2 linked regions of the Xenopus tropicalis genome follow. The protein of the gene in region 1 purifies or fractionates together with the protein of each later gene. This does not show direct contact. Links are inferred from orthologs where the notes say so. Each region holds a gene or a part of one and is shown on either strand. Other genes may lie near its edges.

Evidence for each region.
Region 2: the proteins of sytl4 (region 1) and rab3a purify together in Homo sapiens (affinity purification with mass spectrometry; 3 studies listed by BioGRID and IntAct, counting the BioPlex papers as one, with this or other methods). This does not show direct contact. The link is inferred for Xenopus tropicalis from reciprocal best matches to the Homo sapiens genes SYTL4 and RAB3A.

What each region holds. Positions count from the first base shown.
Region 1 is NC_030684.2:64,656,702-64,660,647, forward strand, and holds the start of sytl4 (synaptotagmin-like protein 4), read right to left. Parts: upstream 2,801-3,946; 5' UTR 2,593-2,800; intron 1-2,592. UniProt on the Homo sapiens protein: Modulates exocytosis of dense-core granules and secretion of hormones in the pancreas and the pituitary. Interacts with vesicles containing negatively charged phospholipids in a Ca(2+)-independent manner.
Region 2 is NC_030677.2:103,862,669-103,866,607, forward strand, and holds the start of rab3a (ras-related protein Rab-3A), read left to right. Parts: upstream 1-1,139; 5' UTR 1,140-1,182; intron 1,183-3,939. UniProt on the Homo sapiens protein: The small GTPases Rab are key regulators of intracellular membrane trafficking, from the formation of transport vesicles to their fusion with membranes.

The sequences.
Region 1 (3,946 bases):
GTAATCAGTCACTTGGTTTAATGTTAAAATGACTACTAAAAAGTGCTCAGATACATAAAAAAAATTAGAGTGTTTCAGCCTTTTGTGCAATGCAATGTTTGGGTTATTGGGGTCACCAGCCCAGATAGTATCTTATTTGTCACCCTGCAGAATTAAAAGGTTAACTTCCCCTACAATCAGACTACCAGTTAATTGCCATGCTTTATAATGAACCAGCTGTGAGAGTAGATGGAAAGGCTGTGCACTGTATTAACAAACTTGCATTTAAAAACTGACATATTGATTTTACCTTAGCTTACAATAAACCACAAGGTCAAAATGTTTCAGTACAGAGAATATAAAGGAGATCTATCTCCACCTAATAACTATATTTGCATGCTAAAAAGACAATGTAATTCTAAGCACGGAGCTGTATTTATATATAGGCACTCAGGTGCCCAAGAGATTTTTTTGTATTATTTTTTAGGAAAAATAAAACCTCCCCAGTTACCACTGGAGACTTGCTGTGCAAATCTGGGGTACCTGACCCAATGTAATGCATCATGGTCAGATGTAACATCATGCGCAGTTTGCAAACTGGGGGGGCACTAAATACAGCAACTTTCCAATATACATTTATAAAAAATGTCAATGGTTTTAACATTGTTTGTAAAGTTAATATCTGCTGAAAGAAGTATTTATGTTTCCTTTCTGTTGTCTGGTTCTGATTCCAGAAACAATATAGTGAACATCAGTTTTCTTCCAGGTCTATTAATCAGCTGGCCTCTGCTTGATTGATTTAGGAGACAGAACCAAAACTGCAAAGAATATAAACAGCTAGACAGGTACTGATTTCAAAAGCAATTACATCTACCATTCATTTTAAAACCAATATTTTTTAATGAATTTATATTGGAAAGTTGCTTATAATTCAATTTTATTAAGAAAAAACTGTTTTTACATTACATTTCCCTTTACATGGGACTTGAAAAAGAAATGTGTCAGTATAAAAAAAAAAAAAAAAAAGACAGCAGCTAAAATGCTCCTCAATCACAGAAGCCAGAGGTAAACACTGAGCAAGCCTTACCATTCAGCCATGCATACTGTGTTACACAAATATTGGCACTGCACAGACGTCTATAGGGCTGGGTACAGATATTTATATTGGCTCTAGGAAACAAACAGTAGTTCCACAATATGTTCCCACTGCTAATGAATGTGTATCTGTATGTCAGAGATGACAAGTACTCCATCTGTTTCTAAACTGAACTTAAAACCCACAGACTGGTTAAATTGCCAGAGGTCTACAGGTTGAACATCCCTGCTTAGGTCAATAGTTTTTCTTGCCCAGATCATAACCTGCTCTTTTCAAAAACCTTCCTTGCCCAAATCATTCCCTGCTCATGTTAAGTTTGATTGCCAAAATTATTATTTTAAAATCATTTTATAAAACCAAGCCCCTTCTGCTGCAATGCCAGGGCACTATGTGACATTGTTACAAACATTTTTGAGATTGCCAAACTAAGCAAAGTATTAAGGAAATTGAATGTAACCTCTTTAATGCGGTTTAAGAAAAACAGAGCTCAGAGATTTGCGTTCCATGGCAAATTAAAGGATAGTAGTTACATAGTTACATAGGGTTGAAAAAAGACCATTGTCCATCAAGTTCAACCCATCCGAGTAAACCCAGCACACAACCTATACTAACCAATCTATACACTCACATACATAAACTATATATACAACCAGTAATACTAACTGTAGATATTAGTATCACAATAGCCCTGGATATTCTGCTTGTTCAAAAACTCATCCAGGCCCCTCTTACTTGTCACTATACAGTGCCAGGATAAATGGTAATGTTGCTTTAAACACTGGCATCTGTTACAAACAGAATCGCTGGATCCCCATTGATATACTAATGTTTGCAACAACAATCAGAAGACTGCAACAAATGCCAATACAGCACTTTAAAGAGACATGCTCAGAGATGTCAACTAAGCCCATGTCTTTCGGTTGATCATGACCCATTCCTGGAATATCTTAAATCTAGTTCCTCTTCACATGAAACACAGTAACATAGAAAAAAAAGGTCTCCGAAATGCCAGTAGGATCGCTACCACCTAAAGACATAGGTGAGAACTCTTCAGATTTATGGAATATGCCAGGAATATCCACTGTCCATTAAGGGGGCCTGAGAAGATCAAGTTACACCTCTCTATAGAGGGCTGTAGAGAATCTAGCTGTAGGGCCACCATCCAAATCCTTTTTTCCCCACTGGGGTCGCCATAGAAGTGTAAGATTCTGAACCATGTATGCTATACCCACAGTACCAAATATTTGTTTTAAGAGCCCACTAAAGACTGGGTACCCCATAGTTGTGCTGCTTGCAGCCCTGAAGGATGAATGCCCTGTTCAGCCTCCTATTGTGCATTTTATTATAAGCCTTGCCCTTAGGGCAATGGCGTACGGGCGTTTGAAGTAGAACAAGGACCTGTAATTCCCACCATAGAAAATACAAGGGAGAGGTGAGTGCCTACTGGCCGGCCAGCCTGGAAGGAACTTTCCCAGATCCGGTTTGTGGTGCGCACAGTTGCTGAGTATGGCTCTTACCTGCGCTCACAGGAAGCTCCACGGCTGGGCTATGGCTGCGGCGGGAGAGCTCGGTAACAAGGTTGCTCGCCACACAATGCGGAAAAGCAGAGCGCTAGACCGAGAAAGGGAATGAGCTGAAAGTTTCCCAGCTGCTGCCTGGGACTGGAGGGGAGAGGCACACAATTCTTAAAGTGACCGCACCTGCAAAGGAGTCACAGCCGTGTGGGAGGGGAAAGAGGGTGCGCACAGGAAGATCAATGTACTGAATGGAAATGCGGGATAGGAAAGGATTTGACAGGAATAATAACAAATCTTTATCATCTAAGTAACCGCAGTAGGACTGAGTGTGCCCAGCTATTTTAGAAGAAATATAGGTTTCTGCCATGATGGCAGATTGGAAGGATGCCGGCAGCGTGCAGGTAGTTTATGCAGTGCTTCTCCTTCCAGTGGATCGGTTTTAACATCACCCCAGAGTGTGTCCCATTGCACAGATTTTACACTGATTTCATGCGTTTACTTCTTGTTCAAATCTCAACTATAATCGTTGTATAAACATGTTATTACCATAACTAATAGCAGTATTATAAAACTGTTCTGTAGTGTTCCCTCTAAACTGGTGGAACTAAGCTGGTGTCAGAACTGTCACAAGTTCCCACACAAAGCGTTTTGTATGCACACGTCATTTAGTAGGCACACAAGTTAGGGCCATGGCCCACTGGGACACTAGTCTCCTGCTGTTAAATCTGTGCTACCAAGGGCGAATAATCTTCAAAAAACACCTTCCCACTGGCAATAAACTGAATCACCAGTGGGAAGATGTTGCTTTGTTTTCCAAAGTCACTCAACGTTTTCCCCTGCTTGTACTTTCCCACCAGCGATTCACTTAATTGCCAGTTGGAAGGCGTATCAGGGAGAGTAGTTTTACTGTGGGAAACAAATCTACCCATGGGCCATGGCCCTTACAAAACTGGTTCTTTATGTGTACGATGATGACATTTAATTGAACATGAGCTCATATAGTTGGGCTTGTGCAGAAAAAATGCATAAACAAATTTCCAAAAATAAGGTTTTTTTTAACACAGACATATCCGTTTGTAAAGATGCTCAGGTCATCCAGGTCATGGTATATCTGTAGTAATTTCTGAATTGTGAAAGCCAGTTGGATGACTGGCGAAACGTCTTCAAGAAAAAAAAACACAGCAAGTCCAGTTGATTTGACTTACTACAGATACAGACATATCTGATTCCATAGATTGAAAGGAATTTGTGTGTCTGTGCTGCAGGTACCTGCTCCTTCACCTTGTTCTATTGTGAAGTGTCCTTCTGACTTCCAGGTAATCTGTGCACAACCAACTATGGAAAGCACTAAAGT
Region 2 (3,939 bases), on another chromosome or scaffold:
AAAAATGTTAAAAAGTTGAAGTGGTGCTCAAATCTGTATATATATTGCAACAACATTGAACTGTAACAGATGGCACTCAAATCCAGCAAATGTGCTAAATAACTTGTTTATTGAGATCTCTGCACACTCAATAAACAAGAAAGTTATTTAGCACATTTGCTGGTAAAGGCCAGGCTGGATAATATTCTTATTTTGGAGAAACTTACGAGCTGGAAAACCGACACCAAAAACAGTTTAATAAAGTTTGGATTCCGTGGATGGTATATAGAAACATTTCACACTGATTTCCCTCCTCCTATTCTGAATTTACCGTCAGATAATTTCCCCTTGCTCTACCTTAGCCAAGAACAATGTTTGAAAAAAATAACAGCATCCCAGGACATCCAAGAGCTACAATTTTATTATATGTTATCGACTGTTTATTCAAACTTCAATGTCATGTTTTGATCAGGGTTCCCACCTGGCCAGTACTGTACCGTCCTGACCAGTAAAAAAGATGCTTAATGCCACTGTTGAAATATAAAAATATAGGAAGGCCGGTATTTCTTTCCAGAAAAGGAGTCAACCCTAGTTTTGATTCAGGAATAACATGGTGTATTAAAAACTATTTGGTGCTAATGCAAGCTGGGATCTGGCAAAGAACACAACTCAACAAAGCGCCTTTTTTAGAAGCCATGACTCTTTAATATGTGAGGTAATGTGGTAATGATGTACTTTATTACAAATCTAGCGCATTTTTAAATATATATATATATATATATATATATATGGTAATATTTGCCCTTAAGGCTTGTTTTTCACATTATTAATATCCTATATCTAATCACCATCTTGGCAAAAGTCGCCCTTTCTCGCCCTCCATCGTAAATAATTTATATACTGCCATGTCGCAGTGGACACATATAGAACAAGCGCTATTAGAATGGGAAACATTTCCCGGTCACCAAGTCAACTAATCCCACCCCTCCATGCGTCACAGGAGCGGCGATTTATCAGTGGTCGGTGGTATTCACCTATCCGAACCTTTTATTTTGCCACAGAAGGGCGGACTTGCTGCGCAGACGCCACGCCCACCACCAATTCGCAGCTGTCAATCAGGAAACGTCGTCTTGTGCTGTGCAGGTGCAGGGAGAGAGCTGCTGCATTGGTGCAATAGGAGCTGAGCCGAACCCGGAGAGAAAGGTAAGCAAAATGGCTTATGGATAAATCTGTAGGCTTTCAGGGATGGAAAAGAACCCACTGAGGGAATGAATGACTGATGGTTATCTAATTGGTTGCTAGGCTATGGCTGCTAGGGAATTGTGCAAGATGTAACCTTCATTTGTCATGGGCAAAGATGCTCAGTGCATCTCCTCATCAGCCAGAAATATGGAGAACGCGGAGTCATTATCCACTTACCTAATATCACTTGTGTATTTCCATGGAAAATACTAGAAACGGCAGTCTGCACTATTTGGGTTTGGGGCTGTGAGCAGAGCTGAATGAAATCCCCCCCCCAGTTCCTTTCTTTCCTTTACGATTTATTTGCTATGAAGGGTGATGGGGGAGGGAAGTGCTGGATCCCTGATGTGCAGCCACACAACCATTCTTTCTGCATACAGCTCCCTATGCTATGCATTAACTGCCTCATCCCATACACACGCACAATATATATATATATATATATATATATATATATATATATAATTATTACACACACTCACAATTTGTAAAAGCTCTTAGTCTTGCTGAAATACAGGCTTGTTTTGCCTTAATGCAGAAGGCTAGAGGATTGCAGTAATTAGAACTGGGTGTAGCTGTAATTGAAGAGCTATTTAAAAGATCACATTGCATTTTAAAGAAGGGGTTGCGTTTTGTAATAGATTTATAGGGGGATGGAAGGGCATATGTTATGTTCTGTGTGATTTCAGTGATGAGGAATATCCTGCTATCACATATACGAATGGCTATTTTCAAACACGAGAGTTTAAAATATCAACCTTGAATAATTTATGGGGGTATCTGAATAGGGTATCTGCATTTTTTTTCTGGATTGTGATACAAATCTGCAGTCAAATGCATCAAATCTATAGCTGTCAGTTTGCAAAGTGATTGATGTCTAAGGTTATTCAAATGTCTTTTTTTCCACTTCTTTTACAAGCAGGATATGCCAGAAATACAATGCAGAGCACACTCAATAAATTTAAACATGTTTGCTTCATACAAAAGTCATTCCCTTATCTATACATATGTTTACTGTTAAAACATTCAGTATATGCTATTAATGATACTAAGATTGAGCAAATATGAAATACTCCAAATTATTGAAACAGTGGTGTATCTTTAGATTGGAACTAATAATTCTTTTTCATCTGATTGACCATTGTTGAGGTTTGTCACCCCAAAACATCAACCACCATATATAAGTCTATAATTAAAAGCTCAACCTCCTCATCAGCATAAGAGCAGGTTTTTTTCAGCTGCCTCTTCAGCATAAAAGGTTGATGAAAAGGGGTCAGTAGATATTACATACATATCCAAATACCATACATATACAGGTATGGGATCCCTTATCCAGAAACCCGTTATCCAGAAAGTTCTGAATTACGGAAAGGCCAGCTCCCATAGACTCCAGTATAAGCAAATAATTCTAATTTTTAAAAATGATTTCCTTTTTCTCTGTAATAATACAACAGTACCTTTTACTTGATCCCAACTAACATACAATTAATCCTTATTGGAGGCAAAACAAGCCTATTGGGTTTATTTAATATTTAATTGATTTTTAGCAGACTTAAGTTATGAGGATCCAAATTACGGAAAGATCCCTTATCTGGAAAACCCCAGGTCCCAAGCATTCTGGATAACAGGTCCTATACCTGTACTAGATTTCCAAATAAAGTAAACTGTTATAGAAAAAAAAGATATTCATTCTAATGGAAGACTTGCAAACTCATTAGGCATCCGCAGTAAATTAGTCTGATCAACTAGCATAGAATAATCATTCAGAAGAGCTTTTTATGCAGTATGGCCTAAAGTGCCCTGCGATTCTTGTGCTTGTGCTGTAAAAAAACCTAATACGTCTGTACTGTGTTGTTGTCTAAGTGGTACCAGTGGTCGAACTACTAGAGGGGGGAAGGGGGTTACGACTCCACCAGAGACTGCCTGCCAGTGGTGCCTCCCTAGGGGATGCCACTAATGATATTGCTATTTTATGCTGCTTTAAACCATGCCATGGGTAAGGAAAATGGGGGTGGTGCAACAGGGAAACTAGCTGAGATTGTATACCCAGGCCTGTAGGGCTTACGTTATGTTACTAGGTGGTAATTGATAGTAACAGTAATGCAGGTAATCAGATAAAGACTCAACCTGAAAAATTATTAAGAGAGTTTATTTAGTCTTCATTGACTGACTTTCTTCATTGCTTAAACCTTAAAGGAAAAGTTACATTGAATCTATTCTACCCTACTCCAATAATTGCCCTATTCTTCTCAGTGTTTATTATTTTAAATGCTTTGTTAGAAAATACCTTATAAAATGTTACATCCGGTCATTTCATATACGGCGATCCAGAAGATGCAGAATCCACTATGCGACGATCGACATCTCCTCCTAGCCTTCCTTCTGTACAGGAAGGAGTCGGGCTAGGAGGAGATGACGATCATCGCATAGTGGATTCTGGATCGCTGTATTTGAAATGACTGGATGCAAATAAAGCAATAAACACTGGGAAGGATAGGGCAATTATTGGAGTAGGGTAGAATAGATTTTTTTACTAAAATTTTAGTGTTACTTTTCCTTTAACTGTCCTAATCTCATGGGGAGAGCTTGGAAAGCAATCTTTGCCACCAACAGGCATATTATTAACATTCTTTCTGACCAAATAAGAGCTTGTTTAATTTCAGGTATTCAAAATATATTAAGAAAATTCAAAGTAATAGTTTTATATGACCCAAAACA